Linked DNA regions of Struthio camelus. The protein of the gene in region 1 interacts with the protein of each later gene in a pairwise test. Links are inferred from orthologs where the notes say so. Each region holds a gene or a part of one and is shown in the gene's direction. Other genes may lie near its edges.

Evidence for each region.
Region 2: the proteins of TNFAIP1 (region 1) and EXOSC5 interact in binary tests that used the Homo sapiens proteins (3 or more experiments, as listed by UniProt). The two-hybrid records come from large-scale screens. The link is inferred for Struthio camelus from reciprocal best matches to the Homo sapiens genes TNFAIP1 and EXOSC5.

The regions. Positions count from the first base shown.
Region 1 is NC_090957.1:21,430,323-21,441,609, forward strand, and holds the start of TNFAIP1 (BTB/POZ domain-containing adapter for CUL3-mediated RhoA degradation protein 2), read left to right. Parts: upstream 1-7,168; coding exon 7,169-7,556; exon of another isoform or gene 7,557-9,738; coding exon 9,739-9,908; exon of another isoform or gene 9,909-10,031; intron 10,032-11,287. Other genes in the region: IFT20 (intraflagellar transport protein 20 homolog), read right to left, coding at 1,820-1,901, 2,432-2,535, 3,386-3,471, 3,888-4,014. UniProt on the Homo sapiens protein: Substrate-specific adapter of a BCR (BTB-CUL3-RBX1) E3 ubiquitin-protein ligase complex involved in regulation of cytoskeleton structure.
Region 2 is NC_090957.1:708,811-719,664, reverse strand, and holds EXOSC5 (exosome complex component RRP46), read left to right. Parts: upstream 1-6,468; 5' UTR 6,469-6,525; coding exon 6,526-6,661; intron 6,662-6,962; coding exon 6,963-7,076; intron 7,077-7,624; coding exon 7,625-7,746; intron 7,747-8,966; coding exon 8,967-9,107; intron 9,108-9,194; coding exon 9,195-9,287; intron 9,288-9,981; coding exon 9,982-10,074; 3' UTR 10,075-10,187; downstream 10,188-10,854. Other genes in the region: BCKDHA (2-oxoisovalerate dehydrogenase subunit alpha, mitochondrial), read right to left, coding at 1,822-1,992, 3,004-3,175, 3,272-3,413, 3,482-3,688, 3,781-3,942, 4,018-4,126, 4,201-4,287, 4,853-5,032 and 1 more. UniProt on the Homo sapiens protein: Non-catalytic component of the RNA exosome complex which has 3'->5' exoribonuclease activity and participates in a multitude of cellular RNA processing and degradation events.

The DNA.
Region 1 (11,287 bases):
AAGTTTGAATTGGCTCGAGCTTACAGCTCTACTCTAATCAGAAACAGCTTTGGTGGCAGCCTCTATTAGCAATTCCATGTGGTATCTGTGTGTACACAGCTCCAGGGGCCTAGCTCCTCTTGCACTGTCAACCTTGTGTGGCACATCTATATTAGGAAAATAAACCTTTACCACAGTGGTACGTAACTGTATGATGGAGGGCGGAATTGCATCTGATACTTGTTCTTCATTCAGCTAGTCTTTTTCCAAGATGACTGCTATAAAGTCCCTTAAGTAAGAAAACTATCTTCTAAGAAGACATTGTGCAAACTCTGTAAGCGATTATACACAACTTTGCAAAGCTATGCTTTTGAAGTATTTCCATATAACAATCCTTAACTTTTCCACCCCTTCCAAAAAGCCAAATCTCACCTTGCTTTCCTCAACTCAAATTTTGATTAACTGTAAATGTCTGGTCAGTGAAATATATGCCAAAAAGTCTAGATCTCTGAATGCTTAAAGTTAACTTAGTTTGACAATGAGGCACACTTCTCCCCAGAGGATTTTGAAGAACTTCAACAATTGTAAACAAGCATTTGTAAGCTACTTGCTTCCAATGAAATCACTTTTAGTATGAAAATAAATAACTAAATGTATCTGAACTAGCCTTTCATTTAAACTTCTTATGACTAAAAGGAACTTAAAATGACCACGAGATCTTACCTAGTCCATACAGTAAATGTTGCATTAGACTTTGAAATTACAGTAAATAAAACCTACCATCTGCTAGATTTTTTTTTCCCCTCAATCTGATCTGTAAGAATCAACCTTAGAGATTTGTGTACAATTTACAGCTCAAAGAATAGGCTTTTCAGTCACTGCCTATGTGTTTCCAGACTTCATCGGTGTGTAATTTAAAACTTCTACAGTCTTTGAAAGGCCAACATTTCCATATTTGGTTGCCCAAAGACAGGCATAAAATGCATCCATTGGCACTTCACCATAAGGCTTGATTTTTAATATCAAATGTGAAGTCCTTTCAGCATTGTAAAATATGGGCATTTTATTTTTAAATGTCACATTCATATTTATAGTTTATATATACACCCCTTGTTTTACAGTACCCTTGGAACAGTTTGTCTCATCAATTTGAAGTTAATGTTCAGAAAAATATTCTACTCTAATATTACTAGCTGTATGGACGTTGCACCTCAGATGTAATTTAATCTGAATTCTATGTTTTCTACTTTTTTCATTTGTAATTAATCAACTGTTGCTCAATTTTCCTTGTTTTCTTTTTAAATGGATAGAAAAGGAAAATCTGATCAATACAGATAAAATTACTGCTGCTTCTCTCTGTTGTGTGTTGTCTTTATAAACATGAAAATATTATACGTAGGAAATTCTCCATTATGATTATGCAGAGTTGTAAACTCTTAAGAGCAGAAATAAACTTAGCAGAAGCAGTAATTCTGAGATTCCCCAGAAGGTCTGAAAACAATAATTTATTTCCTGATTTATTTAAAAGAGTTGCACACTTCAAAAAGTGAGAAACATAACATAGCAACAGTAGCGTTAATTCAATTGTAATCTGAATTTGAACTACTGACTGTACAAACATTTTATAAAACTACAGGACAGAACTGTCTTTATTTACATCTGTTAGAAAGCTTTCCTTATTGCCACTTTTAGTGTAAATTCAAATTGTATTAAAAAACATTTTCATTTGTACAAGCCATCTGTTAATTCATATACAATGAAAAATTGCATATTTTTGAAAGCCTCAGGATCCTGGAATGGTCAAGTTCCCAGGTCAGTATGCTGTTTATCTTAAAATCCTTTATTTTTGAAAAATGAATTGGTCAATGAATTCATGCTGGTCAGCTTCTATTTTACATAGTGTCTCATACTCTATTCGGTATCTGAAAGAGAAAAAATGGTTACAAGCTACATTCAGCTCCTGTTATTTAGATGATTTAGTTCTATCTTCATGGGTCTGTTGTGAAGGAAATCTAGGCTAAGCGCATAAGTAATTTTTAAAGCAGTGGCTACATCAGTTAGACACTGCAGTTCTGAAGTACCTACAAAAATCCAAACAGCACTGTATTACAGTTTTATTAAGTTTCTTAGCTGCATGATCTCGTGCCCCCTCTATTTAGCCACAAAAACATTAGAAATGAGGCTTCCTGCAAGAGTGGTAGACAGGGCCTTAAGTTAAGCATAGAATTATGCTGCTGCATTATTCATACATGCCTTGTATGGGAGGATACACCTTAGCTGCAGGTGGACTGTTTGAACAAGCTTAGAGACTTTCCTCCTTCAGGCAAGCACAGATGATAAGACTGAGTATACAGTCTACATAATTGAGCTGAGTTTGTCATGTATGATATACTACTTTCATTTCAAAATATTAAATCAATGCCCAAAAAACTATATTTAATATAAAACTTACCTTTCCAACTGCATCTTTTTCTCAGCTATTAAAGCCTGAAGTTGCTGTTCCTGAGCTTCTCTTTGCTTAGCTATAGACTTCAGCAAATTTCGTGCACCAATGGCCTGTCAAAACAGGATTTGCAGTGACGTAGTTGTATCAGGAGCTTTTTTTTTTTTTTTAAAACCACTTTTGTTACTATTAGATTGATTTTGAAGTGTTTCAGCCGTGCTAACAATAGAAGAGGATATCATGTTGATACTGAATGTTTAGTGGAACAGGCAGACAGCCCTGTAGCAGTTGTGCAGATTAAGGCATTTGAGGCTTCCTTCAAACTTCAAGTGTTCATAACACGCTGACAGGAAAGCCACTGACTCTTCTGGAAATACAATCTGATCATTGGTGACTAGTACTACAGATAGACAAGCTCTGGTTATAATTTTTTCCCCAGAACAAATGATGAAAAAGCAACTACCTACAATTTTGCTAGTTGTTCATTTTTATTTTCGCAATAATAGGGGGGAAAAAAGTCTTAGTGACGCATAGAAATACGCCAAGAAAGTTTCAGAGGTAGTTACAGAGATATATATTGATTTGGTCTTTGGACAGCCCTTTCTTCCTCCTCGTGGATCCTCTCATGAACTAAGTTCAAATGGTAGAAATATTGATCAGAAAACATTTTCTGTTTACATGCAATATACTGATAAGCTGCAACAGTAGCACTATTAAATGCAGGAGTAATGTCACACTCCAGGTGTGCTTATAAAATTTTTCCAGTTGTTAATGTCAGTTTTTTGTAGCCCCTATGCTTTCATACCAGACAGGCAGGGAGATGTTAACTACCATGGAAAATATCTGCATGATGCTGACAGAAAATTATTGTTTATACTGTAAAAGTAGGAAGGAAGGGAGCTGGTTTTTCATGCATTGTACAGGGCAGGGTATGTTACAAGCCAGTAATTAATTGCGCAGTACCTTCATCTTCTCACTTTCAGCAGCTTTTGCTAGTTGATCAACAAGTTCAATTAAGCTACCCACTATTTTTTGAAATTCTACTACTTCTGCAAAGAAAAAAAAAAAGTCAAGTAATATCCATCAAAATAACACCAAATAAGACTAATATGTGTACTATAGGCTTTGAATTTCAGCCGTGACTTCTTAGTCCTTTCAGTTTACTGTAAATAGGTGCACTTTAAGATTTTCCTTCACAACAGGTAGGATATAAAAGGGGAACAAAAAAGAGAGAAGCCCATAAACGTTAACGGGATTCATCACCGTCCTTTACGCCACGGAGTCCGCTTCCTTAATTTTTTCGTCACTTCAAGGCATTTTTCCGATCCGTCTATTCAAGGAATGGTTATTCGAAGCTGCGGAGCCCCCGCACGGCCCCGCTAAGCGACACCTGCTAACAAACCGCTCCCGAGGGGCCGCGCGGGCTCTCGGGCGCGGCGCGGCGCCCCGGCGGAGCGGCACTTACTGTCCACGAAGGCGCCGCACTCCTCGCGGAGCTGCGCCGTCTGCTCGGCCACGCCGGGCTCCAGCACGCGAAGCTTGTTCAGCTCGTCGAAATGCAGCCCGGCTTGCCCCAGGGCGTCGCGGGCCATGCCGCCCCCGCTGCCGCTCCCAGGCGCGCTCCGCAGCAAGCCGGCACCGCAGCGAGCGCCTTCCCCGCCGGCGGCCCGTCCCGTCCCTCCCGCCGCCCCCGTCACCTGGCAGCGCCCCTCCGCACCGCGGCTGCCACGGCGACAGGGGGGACGGTACTGCAGTCGCGGGGCCCTACCCGGCACGCCGGGAGCTGTAGTCCCAGCCTCCCGCCGAGCCCGCGGCACGTCGGGAGCTGTAGTCCCGGCGGCGGGGAGCGTTTCCGGGTTGCCGGCGCGCGGAGGAAATGAGCTCAGCCGAGGGGCCGCGGGGGGGTGAGCGCTCGAGGCGGCGGGTCCGCGGGGGAGGGCACGGCGGAGCCGGGAGGCGCGGGGGGCGGCGGCGGCGGCGGCCGGAGGCCTGGCGCGGCGGGGCTGAGCCTGCGGGCGCGGGAGCGCGGCGCTGCCGGCCGAGCGGGGCTGAGGAAGAGTGCGGTCAGGTATCGTCCCAGCATCCCGGTGGGCGGTGAGAGACGGCTAGGGGAGAACTCCTGCTCACATGAGTATTTAGCTTCTAGGGTGACCTTGTTATTTGCCTTGCCAGATGTAAAACTGAGACCCCGAGAGGAAACATTCTGCCGCTGTGGTGCTGTCGCCCTTGCTGACCAAGGAATAGAGGCCAGGTGCGTGGACTCGAGTAATTCAGCACCCGGAAACTTTGTCTCTGGAAACGTTGCCCTCCATCTGTATGTGAAACTTCGGGGCACGCAGGAAACCTCCTTTTTCTCCGCTGTTCTGACACTGACGTGCTCATGCCACCTTCCTTTCTGACTCCACTAAACCTTCTCTATCCATAACCTTTCTTGTGCTGCTCAGCTCTGTGCAGACTTCAGCAAGGATCGGGGTCATGCTTCTGTCCCATCATGATGGGCTTGGCAGAGCCTGGGAGTGTCCAAAACTACTAAGACCATTTTGTCTAGTCCAGAAATTAGACAGAAAGTGTGCCACTTTAGAAGTGATTCTGTTCAAGTTTTTTTTTTCTCCTCTTGAGCTGTTAACGTTATTTCTTTTTATGGAAGTCCTCAACTGGGACCATTTCCTGATAGGGTGTCTGAACTGCCGTGTTATTGTTCTGCAGTTCTCCATCTGCTTCCCACAAAAGGCAGGAAGGAAAGGACGTAGAAAATTTTCTCTTGCGTTAATGGGTGTAATTAAAGGTCAAATTACTGTTTGCAGCAAAAGCCTCCTAGCTTGCTAGTTAATAAACATGTTACAGTAATAGTATTTGCTCCTACTTGGATAGGCTGGATAGAGAATTTTGCTATCCATTAGAAAGACATTAAAGAGCTCTGTTTGGGTCTGGAGTTATTTCTTTTGTTGCATGATCAATCTGGCTATCTTTAAAAACATGCTTTTGTTTTAAAGAGAGATCGCTATGGGCTAAAACAAGACAGGACATCTGTAACAAATTTGTAGAAATAGAGGTATAACTTAGGTCTACCAAAGGTCTTAACTGAAACAATAAGTATAGTTGCTTCTAGTCTTGATTTACTTATTTGTAAAAGATTATAGTAAACACCTATGTCTAGTAAGGAGGAATTGTGTTATGTGCAATGTGTTTGGAGAAGTTCTGGTCAATTTCTCCATAGCTTTTAGCTCTTCTGGGTAATAAACTTCTTATAGCACCATAATCGCATGCACAGTTTTTGTTTGTTGCTGGCTGCTTACCAGTTTGAAATTACTTTTCTAGCCTAGTTCATTTGTAACATGCAGTTGCCTTTGACTTATATTTGTCAATGGACGACTTGTCTAAAATGATGTGCTCAGAAAAAAAAATTGGCTTGTTCAGATGTAGAAGTAAATTTACTATTGTGTTCTAGGATGATTAGTTGAAAGTAAAGAGTGTTGACAGCTAGTGGGAGTTCCAGCATTTATAGACAAACTGATCTCTCTTGGCACTAAAATTGTTAACATTGGTTTGTGTCTTTGTGACCTGCAAAGTTTTTGTATTGTTTGTTGTTTAATAGATCTTTTTTGTAGTGCTTCCTTAATTAGAATAACATTATGTTAGATATCGTTCTAAGTTCAGTAGCTATTCAAATCTCTGGCAATTTTAAGATACCATCTGTAGCTGCTAAGTAATTTGCTGCACCAGATGGATGGAGAGATGTGGGTTTTTTCCATGCTGAAAGCTGAGGTGGGGTGAGAAGGAAGAGGGATGTGGGAAGAATAGCAATACAGTTAACAGGTTATTATATTTATTTATAAAAGGTCACTCATGTACCACGGGCACAGAACAGAGAAGCGAACAGACGCTTGTAGTCTGAAATAGATAAACAGACAAAAGCATAGTGAGAGGGGAAAAGCCAGCAAAATGTTTCTGAGGCCAACAGTTATTAAAAGAAGGCTAGCTGAGAAACCCGTACTTGTACTTTTCCAGTTAAAGAACCTGAGATCTGGCCTGTTAAACTGAGTTTTGTTCTCCTTTTGTTTGTTTGTTTGTTTCCATTCTAAGCTTCTCTTGGATGGAAAGATAAGTATAGTGAGACTGGGGAGAGGAAGGAAGTTGTGAATGTCTTAGCTGGCTTTTCCGTGAGGCAAATATTCCAAAGACTGGACGTATTTTTTAAATAGAAAAATTAGTATTATATTGACTGCTTGGCATTCCAGGACAGAGGAAAAAGAGTTTTGAATGAAGGATGTACCAGGAAATAGAGCATTATGGCCCAGCATTTTAGTGTCGAGGCACTTGAAAGAGAGGCAGCTGAAACCTCTGTAAATGTCTCCAGTTAAAAAAAAAATTCATATAAACCCCAGCTGGAGACATTGCAGAAAGCTCTTCCATTGTGTTTTAGATTTGCACAAGAAAAAGTTACATTATTTTGGGAAGTTGGGAGGGAGCCAAATTCTAACTATTATTTAAACTTGTACAGGATTGGATGGTGATTGTTATATTGACTGAGGACTAAACAAAAGGAAGTCCAGAAAAGTTTTACTTGCCTCGCTAACAGTAATGCAGCCATAACTTAACAGTATGGTGCTGAACAATCATTATATTGCTGTGTAAGTTGTTTGAAAAACACTTACGTCTTGTTTTGTCAGAATTTGTGCAGATGTGTCCTTAAGAATCTACTGAATACATTTCTTCTTTAATGTGGGTTTCCTGTTTTTGTTTTAAATGGTAATTCCAGGCTTCTGTATTGATCTTTATACGTTTCTGTTTCAAGGGTCCAGTGGGTTACGACTGTTTTTGCCTTGCACTCCTCATCTCGTGACTTGTGACTCTTCACCAATCACGGCGGAATCCATCAAGCCCACGCTCTGCAGGGTTGTCATCTATCTACAGAAGGAGATGTCAGGGGACACATGTCTAACCACCCTTTGTCCAGCTGCAGGATCCAAGCCCAAAACTAGCAACTTCAAAGGGGGCAACCTTGGTAACAAATATGTGCGACTAAATGTTGGGGGTTCCTTATATTATACTACGGTTCAAGTACTGACCAGGCATGACACAATGTTGAAGGCTATGTTCAGTGGCAGAATGGAAGTGCTCACAGACAAGGAAGGTAAGGGGAATGTCTTTTGATGTGGAGAATTTTGTAAAACAATAGTTTTTGTAGACTATGCTGAGTGAAGGGTATAAGGAAAAACGTATTCGGAAAGTAATTTGGAACATTAGGCACCCAGCTCCCATTGGCTCTAGCAAGCCTCCGTGCCTTATGAAAATGTGCTCTTTTGTTACTAAAATTAACTAGAGGAGGGACTAGTTCTCTTTGCTACAATCCCAGCTGGTACACAGATTGCTGACGTTATCAAGACTGAACATACGGCACATGGGTTGTCATTTATTGGGTGATATATAGTGGTGTCAATCAAAACTGGGGGTGGGGGGACATTCAGTTTTCATCTTTCAAACTCAACAGCCTTGCTTGCTATGTTGAGGATTCTGGGTTTTTTTCCCCTCCTAATAGTATGTTCCACTTGTTGCTGACAATACATATCCATGTTGTGACAGTATTTAGTCACCAGTCAAGTATTATGTCGCCTCATGCTGGACATTGATTCCTGGCATTATAAAAATAAAAATCCATAATAAATTATAGAGAACAGAACAAGTAAGAAGACTGATGTCAGCAATGCCTATGAATGCTTCTGTTTTCCTCTCTTTACTATCCCATAGCAAAATGATACCTTAGGAATGAGGCTTGTAGCACTGTGGAGAAGAGATTGAGAGAGGATGGCAAGTATTTAACCTCTTGGTGTTTCAGAATATTCATCTGTGAAAGCTCTTCCACATGCTGAGACTGCATCAATTTAAACTTGATGCATAACAGTGTTTTTACTTAAACTGACACAACTTCTTTGTGTGCATATCACTTAAACCAAATTCCTCTTGAGTACGCTGGTTTGTATATGACTAAATCAGTTTAGCCCAGCAATTTTGTGTAAGAGCCTTAGCCTGAAGAGAGGACAGGGTTAGTGTTCTGACAGCCACAGCTGGAGAATCTAGTAGTGGTTTAGTCTACTTTTCTTATAATGTCCTCTGCACCTGGGTCCCCAAATACCATTTTTTTCCTGCCTTCCACATTATGGAAGAGAGTTTGTCACTGTACTAAGTCCTCTGCTTGCGTGTGTCCTGCATTGCTATTGTTTGCCAGCAAGTCAGACATCCTGTTTCCTAGTCAATGTGCCCTCAGGGATGTTTTAGAATCAGAAAAACGTTCATCTACTACTCCTTCCTGTGCTGCTTCCACTTTCCACTCTCTCCTGATCTGTCTGTGTTCTTTACTCGTATTCGGAGACCGGAACAGTGTTTTTCCCACACTGTGTTTTCTGGGCTATTCTATGTTTTGGCATCCCTGGAATACTTTTCTTTTTGTTAACTCTGAACAACAGTAGAAGATGGTTGGGAGGCTGACAAATTTTTCTAGGTAGGCCACAGAACTTAGCCCCAATTCACTTGTTGCAAATATTTGCAAATTCCTTCTTATACTTTTCCCTTAGCTTTCTTAGTAATAGATTTCTAAGTTTCAAGTGCCCAGCATTACACTGCAGCAGCACTTGATACATTTATTCCCATACAAACACAGCAAAACCCTATTTTGCTGGGAATATGGCAAGCCTCTAAATGAAACAAGCAGCTTGCCTAACAATAAGCTTTTTTTTAAGGTTTGAATTGCTCGGTCAGTCAGTCAAATAGAACTCTAAAAATGCAAACTGGTGATTTCTTATAGTAGTTAAGAAGATCCATTCCTAATAAATAAAGGATCAAACACAGAAAATGATTTTAGTCAGGCAGCACATGGACTGATCAGTAGATACAGTGCAGCCAGGTTCCTGCAGGGATTTTAATGTCTCTTGAGAGAAAGCTGGGTATTTTTAGTTTTTTTTTCTAACTGTGTTTTTCTTTTGGGGTGCTGAAAAGTAGATTTCCAAAGAATAGAAAAGAAGCAGAAAAGAGTAGAGAAGTCTTCCAAAAGTACATTTCCAAAGAGGAAAGTAGATCGCCAGAAGAGCAATTCCCCTGTCATTTTCTGTTCTGTAACCAACTTCAATTTGCTCAAAGTCAGTAAAGACTTTCACTGAATGAAATGGGAAACAGATCATACGCAGTTTCAGGGAAGTTTCAGTAGGCTTCTTATCAGCTTATGAAACTTGAATGCAGTTTCCATGTTTAACCTCTCTGAAAAGCTGTTGTTTGCCTCCCACTGTTGAGGTGATTGAAATGTTGTGATGGTTACTTTTCAGGCTGGATCCTTATAGACCGTTGTGGGAAGCACTTTGGAACAATTTTAAACTATCTCCGAGATGACACAATTGCGCTTCCAAAACACAGACAGGAGATCAAAGAGTTGATGGCAGAAGCCAAATATTATCTTATTCAGGGCTTAGTAGACATGTGCCAAGCAGCCCTGCAGGTAAGAAATAGAAGTAGCCTGTAGTTATTGGCAGGCGTTTTGCTTATAAATATGACTTAGGATGACTTCAAAGAGTGTTTCATGGTCTTAGATGTACATCAAGTCTTAGGCGCACAAGGTAGCCTGGAAAGAAAATGAGACAGCAGTGAGATAAGTTGTTAAGATCTTATCAAGTACATTTATCAAAGCCGTGGTTTTCCTTGCTGTATGTGGACACTCGAGATTCTGTGATGCTTTGTGTAAGAGAGATTTAGTTTATGCTCTCACAGGAAATGTTCTCAGACCTATTCAATATTGTGGAACAGCCTTTCAGGGCAAAGGGGCCTGTGTTCTCAAGGGGTCTAGTGTAATTACTGATGTGGTTGCATTATCAAGGCAGCTATTTCTTTGTAAGAAGAGAGAAAGATGGTCCAGAAGTTAAATTATATTAATCTAGAACATGAAAGGCTCAGGTTCAAGTTCCTTTCATTTCAGAGATGTCTTGTATGATGATGGGTAAATCATTTTCCTTTGAGCTACCATTCTCTTGCCCAGCTGCCTGCTGCAGAATGGGGATAACAGGACTTTTTCTACTTCACAAGAATGCCAGAAGATGAATAAAGAAGAGATTATGTTCAGAACCAGTCGTATAAATAGAGGGACTGTTTCTTTTATATTTGTATATTTTTTTAATTTAGGAAATAGTGAATTTTGAGTTCCTTTTATGTGAAAAGAAATGAAAAACTGAAATTTAAAGGAAATTCGTTGAATAAACATGATTATTTTGAACACAGATGTTTTAAAAGACCTCATAGCATTTGCCTAAAATTCCGCCAAATTATATCACTTCTATTGGATAATAATAGATAAGCGGATAATGTTGATAAGCAGAATGGGTTGCAAACTTTGAAAATATGGTAATTTTTTTCCACGTTTGACTCTTAATGTAGAAAGAGGAAGGTCTACATGGTGAGCACTGATTACTTTAAGGATTTTTATTTGTATCATCTTACTAGCTCTGTTTGTAAATATATAAGCCCATAAGTAGCTTTATTCACTGCACTACTCCGTATGTGTTCAGGTTCAGCTGACTGAAATCACTTTGTTTGGCTGACTTTCTTACAAGGTTAGCCCAGATATGTATTATTTATATATATATAAAACTTATTATTAATCTTAAGATTGTGAAAAGAATGTTTCTGAAGGGATAAAACTTAGTAATTAACAAATACCTCACATTCAACATACTTCTTGTAGCCACTGAAAGAAGTGCAAAGCTACACTGACAATTTTTCTGCTGGTTTTGAATTTAAAACCTTTCTTCTAAAAACAAAATGTTCCAAGGCTTTCCCATTAGCTATTGAGCTTTCCTTAATTTGCTACATGAGGAATCTGGAGTC
Region 2 (10,854 bases), about 21 Mb from region 1:
GACGCGGCTCGGGCGCGCGCGGCGACGCTGCGGCACAGGCAGCCGAGCCCGAGCGACGCGGGGAGCCCCGGGGGGCGGCAATGGGATCGGGGAGGTTGGAACGGGATGTGGGGGGGGGTGGAAGTGGGAATTGGGGGGGCAGCGGGGCCGGGGGGCCGTAATGAGACGCAGGGGGGTCGATACGGGACCGTGGAGGGGGCGAGAATGGGACGCGGGGGGTTAAAACGGGATATGGGGAGCGATGGCTCCCCGAATCGACCTGCCCCAGAGCGGAGCCCCCGGACGCGGGTGAGCTGTGATGGGGCCCGGCCCGGGGGCGCCTCACGCGTCCGGGGACCGGCCGAGCCGGGGTCGCGCGTCCCCAGGGGGGGTCGCGCGTCCGGGGACCGGCCGAGCCGGGGTCGCGCGTCCCCAGGGGGGGGTCACGCGTCCGGGGACCGGCCGAGCCGGGGTCGCGCGTCCCCAGGGGGGGTCGCGCGTCCGGGGACCGGCCGAGCCGGGGTCGCGCGTCCCCAGGGGGGGGTCGCGCGTCCGGGGACCGGCCGAGCCGGGGTCGCGCGTCCCCAGGGGGGGTCACGCGTCCCCGGGGCGCCTCGCGCGTCCGCGGACCAGCCGAGCCGGGGTCGCGCGTCCCCAGGGCACCTCGTGCGTCCGGGGACCGGCCGAGCCGGGGTCCCTGACGTCCCCGTCGCCCCCGCCCCAGGCTCGCCGTCCCCCCCGGAGCACGCGCGGCCCCAAGCGCCTGCCGGTGGCCTTGGCCCCGGCGGCGCTGCTCTGCCTCCACGCCTACGTGAGCTGGAGCGAGCGGGAGCCGGGGGGCGCTCGGGGGGCCCCGAACCGCCCGCCCCGGCTTACTGGAAGGGGCTGCAGCGGGGGCGGGCGGCTGCGGCGAGAGCGCGCCGGCCGCCGCCTTCCCCGACTTCGGCGCCTACCCCGAGGCGCTCCGGCGCTTCGTGCTGCGCGGCGGCTGCCGGCGCTACCCGCTGCTGCTGGACCAGCCGGGCGCCTGCGGCCCAACGGCCCCTTCCTGCTGCTGGCCGTCGAGTCGGCGCCGGGGAACTCGGCGGCGCGGCAGACCCGGGCCCGGCGGCGGGCCGGCGTGCGGGCCGTCTTCCTGCTGGGCCCGGCGGCCGGGAGCCGGCTCTTCGGCGACCTGCTGCAGTGGGGCTTCGAGGACGCCTTCTTCAACCTGGCGCTGAAGGACTTCCTCTTCCTCGGCTGGCTGCGGCGCCGCTGCCCCGGCGCCCGCTTCGTGCTCAAGGGCGACGCCGCCGCCTTCGTCAACACGCCGCGCGTCCTGGCCTAGCTGGGCTCGCCGCCGCCGGCCCGCGTCCTCTACGCCGGGCGGGCGATGGCCGACGCGCGGCCCTTCCGGGCGCCCGCCGGCAAGTATTACATCCCGGCCCCTTTCTACGCCGGTCCCTACCCGGGCTGCGGCGGCGGCGGCGGCGGCTACCTCCTCTCCGGGCGGCTGGCGGGGCCCTCGCACGACCTGGCCGCCCGCCTGGCGCTCTTCCCCACCGACGACGTCTTCGCCGGGCTCCGCTTCCACGCGCTGGGCGTCCCGGCGCGGCCCCACGCCGGCTTCCGCACGCTGGACGTGGCGGCCGGGCGACCCCTGCGCCCGCGCCGGGCTGCTGCCGATGCACCGGCGCTGCCCGCCGCAGACCGCGCGCTCTGGCGGCTGCTGCGCCGGCCCGGGCGGCGCATCGAACGGGGGCGCTCCCGGCCGCGCGCGCGGCGCCCGGACTCTCGCTTACCGTCGCACCAACGCACACGGCCCCGAGGCGGCAGCGGGTTTATTGGGGAGGGCGGGCGGCGTCACTGCTCGAAGTGCTCGAGGGGGTAGTGCTCGCCGTACTGCTGCAGGTGCCGCGCCAGGGCCGCCTGCTGCTTCTGCAGGTGCGGCGGCATCTCGCGGTACACGTCGGAGAAGAGCAGCTGCGGGTTGGGCTTCAGCTTGCGCTCCGCCTCCTCGAAGGCCTCCATCACCTGCGGGGGGAGCAGCCGGGTGAGCCGGGAAGGACGCGGAGCGGGAGGAGGTAGAGGAGCAGAACGAAGAGCAGGAGAACAAGCAGTAGGGTGACAAGGAGCAGGACGACGAGAACGAGCAAGTGAAGGAGAAGAAGGATGAGAATGAGGACGAGGAGGAGCAGGACGAGGAGGAGGAGGAGGTAGAGGAGCAGAACGAAGAGCAGGAGAACAAGCAGTAGGGTGACAAGGAGCAGGACGACGAGAACGAGCAAGTGAAGGAGAAGGATGAGAATGAGGACGAGGAGGAGCAGGACGAGGAGGAGGAGGAGGTAGAGGAGGAGAGTGAGGAGGAGGAGGACGAGGAAAAGGAGGAGAAGAAAGATGAGGATGAGAGTGAGGACAGGGAGGAGGAGGAGGTAGAGGAGGAGAACAAGGAGAACGAGGAGGAGAAGGAGCAGGAGAAGAAAGATGAGGATGAGAGCGAGGACAGGGAGGAGCAGGAGGTAGAGGAGGAGAACAAGGAGAACGAGGAGGAGAAGGAGCAGGAGAAGAAAGATGAGGATGAGAGCGAGGACAGGGAGGAGCAGGAGGTAGAGGAGGAGAACAAGGAGAACGAGGAGGAGAAGGAGCAGGATGAGGAGAAGAAAGACGAGGACGAGAGTGAGGACGGGGAGGAGCAGGACAAGGAGGACAATGAGGAAGAGGAGAAAGAGCGTAAGGAACATGAGGATGAAGAGGACGAGCAGGAGAAAGATAACAAGAAGGCAAGCGAGGATGAAGACAAGAACAAAAAATTAGGAGAAGGAAGGGGAGAAGGTTGGGAAGGAGAACAACAACAAGGGCAACGAGGAAGAACGAGAGAACGAGCGCAAGGAGGAAGAGGACAAAGACGAGCAGAACAAGGGCGAGGAGCAGGAGAAAGGGAGCGCAAGGAGCAGGATGAAAAGGAAGACGAGGAAGAGAAGAGCGAGGAGAAAGGGAACAAGGAGAAGGACGAGGAGAGGCAGAGGCCGCCCCGGCCCCGCTCACCTTCCTGCGGGAGCTCTTCCTCCAGCTCTTCTCCTGCTCCTCGTCCCACCAGCCCCGGCCCAGCATGTAGTGGCGCAGGCGGGAGATGGGGTGGTCCTGCTTGTCCCAGTAGTTCACCTCGTCCACCGAGCGGTAGGCGGAGCTGTCGTCGCTGGTGCTGTGGTGGCCGATCCTGCCCAGCGGGGAGGGGACGCGCGGGAGCCGCGTGGCGCCGCCGCCACCGCGCGTGTCCCCCCGCCGCCGCCGCCGCCGCCCCCCGGCCCCGCACCTGTAGGTCATGGCCTCGATGAGGAAGGGCTGGTTCTCGGCCACGGCGCGGCGCCGCGCCTCCTTGGTGGCGTTGTAGACGGCGAAGACGTCGTTGCCGTCCACGCGGATGGACATGAGGCCGTAGCCGGGGCCGCGGGCCGCTGCGGGGGGCCGCGGTCAGGGACGGCCACCACGGCCGCTGCCGTCGCCCGCGCGCGGCGGCTCTTACCGATGCCGTCGCCCCGGTACTGCTCGGAGGTGGGGGTGGAGATGGCGTAGCCGTTGTTGCGGCAGAAGAAGATGATGGGGCACTCGAGGGTGGCGGCGAAGTTGAAGCCGGCGTGGGCGTCCCCCTCGCTGGCGGCCCCCTCGCCGAAGTAGCAGATGACCGCCTGGTTGGCGTTGTCCCGCTTGATGGCGTAGGCGGCGCCCACGGCTGCCGGGAGCGGGGTCGGGACGCGGCGTCAGCCCCCGGGGGCAGCGCCGGCGCGTGTCCACCCCCCCAACCCCACCCCAGCCCGGCGTCACCTTGCGGGATCTGGGTGGCCAGCGGGGAGGAGATGGTGACGAAGTGGCGCTCGCGGCAGCCGTAGTGCACCGGCATCTGGCGCCCTTTGCCGGGGTCGCTGGCGTTGCCGTAGCACTGCGCCATGAAGAGGTCCAGCGGGTAGCCGCGGTACATGAGCACGCCTGGCGCGGGGCGGCGGTGAGCGCGGGGGGGACGCCGCCACCGCCGCCGCCGCCGCCGGCCCGGCTCGCCCTTACCCGCCTCGCGGTACTGCCCGAAGACCAGGTCGGTGTCGGCCAGGGCCGCCGCGCTGCCCACGTGCGTCCCCTCCTCGCCGTAGTTGGTCATGTAGAAGGAGATGCGGCCCTGGGGGGCGGCGGGGGTGGGCGCGGGCAGGCGGCGCGTCCCCCGGCCGGGCCCCGCGCCGGCCCCCGGCTCACCTGCCGCTGCGACTCGTACAGGATGCGGTCCATGGTGTTGAGGAGCGTCATGGTCTTGTAGAGCTTCAGCACCAGCTCCTGGGGCAGCTGCGGGGGGGGCAGCGCCGCCCGGGGACGGGGCGTCACGGGGGTGGGGGCACCACGGGGACGGTGTCGTCGTGGGTTTGGGGGACACTGTGGGGACCGGGGACGCTCACGGGGACAGGGGACGCGCCGCAGGGACAGGGGCCGCCGTGGGGATGGGGGCCGCCACGTGGGGACAGGGGCTGCTGTGGGGCAGGGGCTGCCCTGCGAGGACAGGGCACGCCGTGGGGTTGGGGGACGTGATGTGGGGACAGGGGCTGCCGTGGGGACGGGGGGCTGCTGCCGTGGGGACGAGGGACATGCTGCAAGGGCAGGAGCCGCCATGGGGATGGGAAACGCAACGTGGGGACAGGGGCTGCCGGGGGGCCGGGGGCCGTGGGGCCGGGGGGCCGGGGGGCCGGGGCCCACCTGGGGGTCCTCGCGGGGGTTGACGACGTGGCCCTGGCGGTCCATGACGCGGTAGACGGGGATGCCCGACAGCGCGGGGGCCGGGGGCCGTGGGGCTGGGGGGCCGGGGGGCCGGGGGCCGTGGGGCTGGGGGCCGTGGGGCCGGGGGGCCGGGGCCCACCTGGGGGTCCTCGCGGGGGTTGACGACGTGGCCCTGGCGGTCCATGACGCGGTAGACGGGGATGCCCGACAGCGCGTTGGGCTGGATGAAGCGGAGCCGCTCGGCGAAGTCGGCCGAGGCGCCGGGGAACTGCGGCTTCTCCGCCAGCGAGGGCAGAGAGGGCTCCTGCTGCCGCCCCCCCTGCCGAAACGTCCCGTCGTCCCCGTCCCCCCCGCCGAAACGTCCCGTCGTCCCCGTCCCCCCCCTGCCGAAACGTCCCGTCGTCCCCGTCCCCCCCCGCCGAAACGTCCCGTCGTCCCCGTCTCCCCCCGCCGAAACGTCCCGTCGTCCCCGTCCCCCCCCGCCGAAACGTCCCGTCGTCCCCGTCCCCCCCCCGCCGAAACGTCCCGTCGTCCCCGTCCCCCCCGCCGAAACGTCCCGTCGTCCCCGTCCCCCCCCGCCGAAACCCCCCTGCCGAACCCTCCTGTTCACCCCGGTGACACGGGGACGTGGGGACACGGGGACGTGGGGACGGGACGTGGGGACGGGACGTGGGGACACAGGGACGTGGGGAGCCGGGGACGTGGGGAGCCGGGGACGTGGGGACACGGGGACGTGGGGACGGGAAGTGGGGACACGGGGGGACGGGACGTGGGGACACGGGGACGTGGGGACGTGGGGACACGGGGACGTGGGGAGCCAGGGACACGGGGACACGGGGACGTGGGGACACGGGGACACGGGGACATGGGGACATGGGGACACGGGGACGTGGGGACGGGACGTGGGGACACGGGGACGTGGGGACACGGGGACATGGGGACACGGGGACACGGGGACACGGGGACGTGGGGACGGGACGTGGGGACACGGGGACACGGGGACGTGGGGACGTGGGGAGCCGGGCCCGGCCGGCGGCGGCGGTGGGGGGACCTCGGCGCGGCGCCCCCCGCGCCCGCCCCACTCACGGCGGTGCCGAGGCCGCGGGCCGGAGCCGGAGCCGAGAGCGGAGCCGAGAGCGGAGCCGCCCGGGCCCGCAGGAGCCGCCCGCGCAGCGCCCGCAGCGCCGCCGCCGCCATCTTGTGCGGGGCGGGGCGGGGCGGGCCGGGGGGAACGCCGGGAAGGGGCGCGGGGGCCGGGGGGACCGCGGGGGGCGGCGCACCGGGGCGGCTGGGGGGACCGGGGAAAGGGGGCACCGGGGCACTGGGGGGGACGGAACGCCGGGGAGGGGCGCGGGGGGCCGGGGGGACCGCGGGGGGCGGCGCACCGGGGCGGCTGGGGGGACCGGGGAAAGGGGGCACCGGGGCACTGGGGGGGGCGTGGAACGCCGGGGAGGGGCGCGGGGGGCCGGGGGGACCGCGGGGGGCGGCGCACCGGGGCGGCTAGTGGGACCGGGGAAAGGGGGCACCGGGGCACTGGGGGGGGGCGGAACGCCGGGGAGGGGCGCGGGGGGCCGGGGGGACCGCGGGGGGCGGCGCACCGGGGCGGCTGGGGGGACCGGGGAAAGGGGGCACCGGGGCACTGGGGGGGCGGAACGCCGGGGAGGGGCGCGGGGGGCCGGGGGGACCGCAGGAGGCGGCGCACCGGGGCGGCTGGGGGGACCGGGGAAAGGGGGCACCGGGGCACTGGGGGGGGCGGTCACGTGCCAGAGGGCGGGCGTTTCCGCCGGAAGCGGAAGCGGGAGCGGCGGCAGCATGGCGGCGGAGGCAGCAGCAGCGGTGGCAGTGGAGGAGGAGGAGGATGGCGGCGGCGGCGAGTGCTGCCTGCGGCCCTTCTCCTGCGAGCAGGGGCTGCTCTCGCGGCCCGACGGCTCGGCCGCCTTCGTCCAGGGTGCGCGACCCCCCCCCCCGCGCCGCCCCCGGTTCCCCCTCACCGTCCGCGGGGGCCGCCTGGGTCCTTCCCCTCCCCCCCCGGACGCCTGGGCCCTTCTTCCCCGAGATCCCCTCCCCCCGAGATCCCCCCCCCCCGGACGCCTGGGCCCCTCTTCCCCGGGATCCCCCCTCGGACGCCTGGGCCCCTCTTCCCATGGGATCCCCTGTCCCTGGACACCCTGCCCCCCCCCCGAGATCTCCCCCCCCCCCGGACGCCTGGGCCCACGCGTGGTCGCCGACCCCCCACCCCACGCCCGCAGGCGACACCTCGGTGCTGGCCGGGCTCTACGGCCCCGGCGAGGCGAAGGGCAGCAAAGAGCTGCCGGACCAGGCGGTGCTGGAGGTGCTGCTGCGCCCCAAGGTGGGGCTGCCCGGTGGGTGCCGGGGGTGCGGGGGGGGTGGGGGCCGTGGGGTGGCGGAGCGGAGCCGGGAGCAGCTGCTGCGGCGCACGTGCCGGGCCGGGGGGGCACGGGGGGCGGCCGGGGGGGCCGTGGGGCAGCCGTGGGGCGGCCGTGACCCCCGTGGCGCCGCAGGGGTGGCGGAGCGGAGCCGGGAGCAGCTGCTGCGGCGCACGTGCCAGGCCGGGGGGGCACGGGGGGCGGCCGTGGGGCGGCCGGGGGGGGCGTGGGGCGGCCGTGACCCCCGTGGCGCCGCAGGGGTGGCGGAGCGGAGCCGGGAGTAGCTGCTGCGGCGCACGTGCCGGGCCGGGGGGGCACGGGGGGCGTCCGTGGGGCAGCCGGGGGGGGCGTGGGGCAGCCGGGGGGGGCGTGGGGCGGCCGTGACCCCCGTGGCGCCGCAGGGGTGGCAGAGCGGAGCCGGGAGCAGCTGCTGCGGCGCACGTGCCGGGCCGGGGGGGCACGGGGGGCGGCCGTGGGGGCCGTGGGGCGGCCGTGGGGCGGCCGTGACCCCCGTGGGGCCGCAGGGGTGGCGGAGCGGAGCCGGGAGCAGCTGCTGCGGCGCACGTGCCAGGCGGTGCTGCTGGGCGCCCTGCACCCTCGCTCCGCCGTCACCCTGGTGCTGCAGGTGCTCAGCGACGCCGGATCCGTATCCGCTTCCGCCCCCGCCGGGGGGCTGGGGGGGGGCTGGGGGGGGCGGGCTGTTTTGGGGAGGGAACCAGGGTTTGGGGGGATGGACGGGGGCTTGGCAGGAAGCGGGTGGGTTTAGAGGAGAGCTGGGGGGCTTGGGGGGAGAGAATCGGGGTTTGGGGGATGAATTAGGGTTTGGGGGGCAGTCAGGGGGGTTGGGGGGGAGCTGATGGGGTTTGGGGGGGAGCTGGGGGCTTGGGGAGGGAATTGGGGTGGTTTGGGGGGTTAAGTGGAGGTTCGGGGGAAGCTGGCAGGGTTTTGGAGGAGCAGGCAGGTTTCGGAGAGCGAATTGGGGTGGTTGGGGGCATCGATTGGGTTTGGGGGGTTGTTGGCGTTGGGCACGTCAGGAAGGGAGTGGGGAGGTGGGGGGATAGAGGGGGGTTTGGGGCATTGTTGGGGGATTTGGGGATTTTGGGGAGGGAATTGGGTTGGGGGGGAGAGTGGGAGGTTCGAGGGGGTTTAGGAGAGAATGGGGGGATTGAGAGGGGTTGGGGGGATTGGGGGTTTTGGGGGGAGAATGGGGGTTTTGGGGGAGGGATTTAGAGGGTTTGGGGGATAGAGGGGCGTTTGGGGAACGCTAGGGGGAATTGGGGGCTTGGGGGGATTTCGGGGGGTTTGGGGGTCTTTAGGGGGATTTGGGGGGGTTGGGATTTTGGGGGGTTTGAGGGGCTGGATGTGGGTTTGGGGGGGCGTTAGGGGGAATTGGGGGTTTGGGGGGACTTTGGGGGGTTTGGGGGACGTTAGGGGGATTTAGGGGTTGGGATTTCGGGGGGTTTGAGGGGCTGGATGGGGGTTTGGGGGGCGTTAGGGGGAATTGGGGGCTTGGGGGGGGTTTCGGGGGGTTTGAGGGGCTGGATGGGGGTTTGGGGGGCGTTAGGGGGAATTGGGGGCTTGGGGGGGATTTCGGGGGGTTTGAGGGGCTGGATGTGGGTTTGGGGGGGTTAGGGGGAATTGGGGGCTTGGGGAGGATTTTGGGGGGTTTGAGGGGCTGGATGTGGGTTTGGGGGGGTTAGGGGGAATTGGGGGCTTGGGGATTTCGGGGGGTTTGAGGGGATTTCGGGGGGTTTGAGAGGCTGGATGTGGGTTTGGGGGGGTTAGGGGGAATTGGGGGCTTGGGGGGGGTTTCGGGGGGCGCGCGGGGGCCGGAGGGGGCCGGGGGCGCCTTGACGCGGGGCGCAGCTGCTGGCCTGCTGCCTGAACGCCGCCTGCCTGGGGCTGCTGGACGCGGGGCTGCCGCTGGCCTCGCTCTTCTGCGGCGTCGCCTGCGCCCTGCGGCCCGACGGCCGCCTCGTCCTCGACCCCACGGCGCGCCAGGAGCGGGTGAGCGGGTCCCCCCCCCGTCCCCCCCCACCCCGGGGGGCCGCGGTCCCCCCCCCCGGCTCAGCCCCGCTGCCCCTCGCCCCGCAGGAGGCCCGCGCCGTGCTCACCTTCGCCATCGCCAGCCCCGACGGCCGCCTCCTGGCCGCCGCCACCACCAAGGGCGCCTGCTCCCCCCAGGAGGTCAGCGCCCCCCCCCCCCCCCCCCGTCCCGGCTTTCGGGGCGAATCGCCGCGGGTTTGGGTCGCTCCGGGCAGCGAGGGGTTTCCTGCGGGTTCCCGGCCTGTCGGTTCCCCCCCCCCCCCAAAACACACACGCACTGGGGGTTGTGACCCCCGTCCTGCCCCGGGGGGCGGCCCCCCCCCCGTGTCCCCCCCCCATGCTGTGGGGCAGCCCCCCCCAATGCTGTGGGGCAGCCCCCCCCATGTCCCGTTCCCCCCCCCATGCCATGGGGCAGCCCCCCACCATGTCCCGTTCCCCCCCACCACCATTGGGCGGCCATCTGCGTCATGTTCCCCCCCCCCATGCCGTGGGGCAGCCCCCCCCCCGTCCCGTTCCCCCTCCCGCCATGGGGCGGCCCCCTGTGTCCTGCCCCCCCCCCCATGAGGAACCCCCCCCCCGTCGGGTGGCCCCTGTCCCCCCCTCCCACCATGGGGCAGCCCCCATGTTCCACCCCCCCCCGCCGTGGGGAAGCCCCCCCCCCATGTCCTGTTCCCCCCCTGCGGGTGAGGTGGCCCCCCCGTGCCCCCCCCACCATGGGGTGGCCCCCCTGTGCCCCCCGCCACCATGGGGCAGCCCCCCCCATGGGTGAGGTGGCCCCCCCGTGCCCCCCCCCCCGCCGTGGGGCGGCCCCCCACGCCCCGCGCCCCCTCCGCAGCTGCAGCAGAGCCTCGCCGCCGCCCAGCGCGCCGCCGCCGCCATCTTCCAGTTCTACCGCGACTGCCTGCGCCGCAAGTACTCCAAGTGGTGACGCGCCGGACGCCGGGGCCCCCGACCCCCCCGCACCCATCCGGACTCCCCCCCGCACCCCCCTCCGCCGTCGGGGGCATTAAACAGGCCGCCCCGACCTGCTGCCGCCTCTCACTGCCGCCGCCCTGGGGGGGCCGAGCCCCGTCCCCCCTCCAGCCCTGCGTGCAGCCCCCCCCCCCACCCGGGGTAATTACCAGGGGGTAATTAGGGGCCTAATTGCTGCCACCTTGGCCCCCAGCTGTGCCCCCCTCCCCAGGCAGAGCGGGTGCGTTGGGGTCCTCGGCTGAGGCCGGGCGAGCTCGTGTCACCTCCCGGGAGGGGAAGGTGGGGGAGCCCGGGTGTGGGGTGCTCCCAATGTGGGGGGGGCTCTGGGCGTGGGGTGCCCCCAATGTGGGGGGCTGAGGGGGTTCCGGGTATGTGGGGTGCCCCATTTCAGGAGCCTGGGCAGGGGACAGTGGGACCCTGCACGCAGGACACGTGTGGGGACACGTGGCTATGGGGGGTGTGCGGGGCACGTGTGGGGACACGCTTGGAGACACGCGTGTCTGTGCCTGCAGGGACATGTGGGTGCGCTTGGGCAGGGTCAGGGGCCATGTCGGGCCACGTTGACCCATGTTGAGTTGCGTCAGGCCGTATCAGGCCATGCTGACCCGTGTCAAGCCGTGTCAGGCTATGCTGAGCCATGTCAAGCCATATTGGGCCACGTTGACCCATGTCGAGCTGCATCAGGCCATATCAGGCCATGTTGAGCCATGTTGACCCATGTCAAGCCATGTCAGGC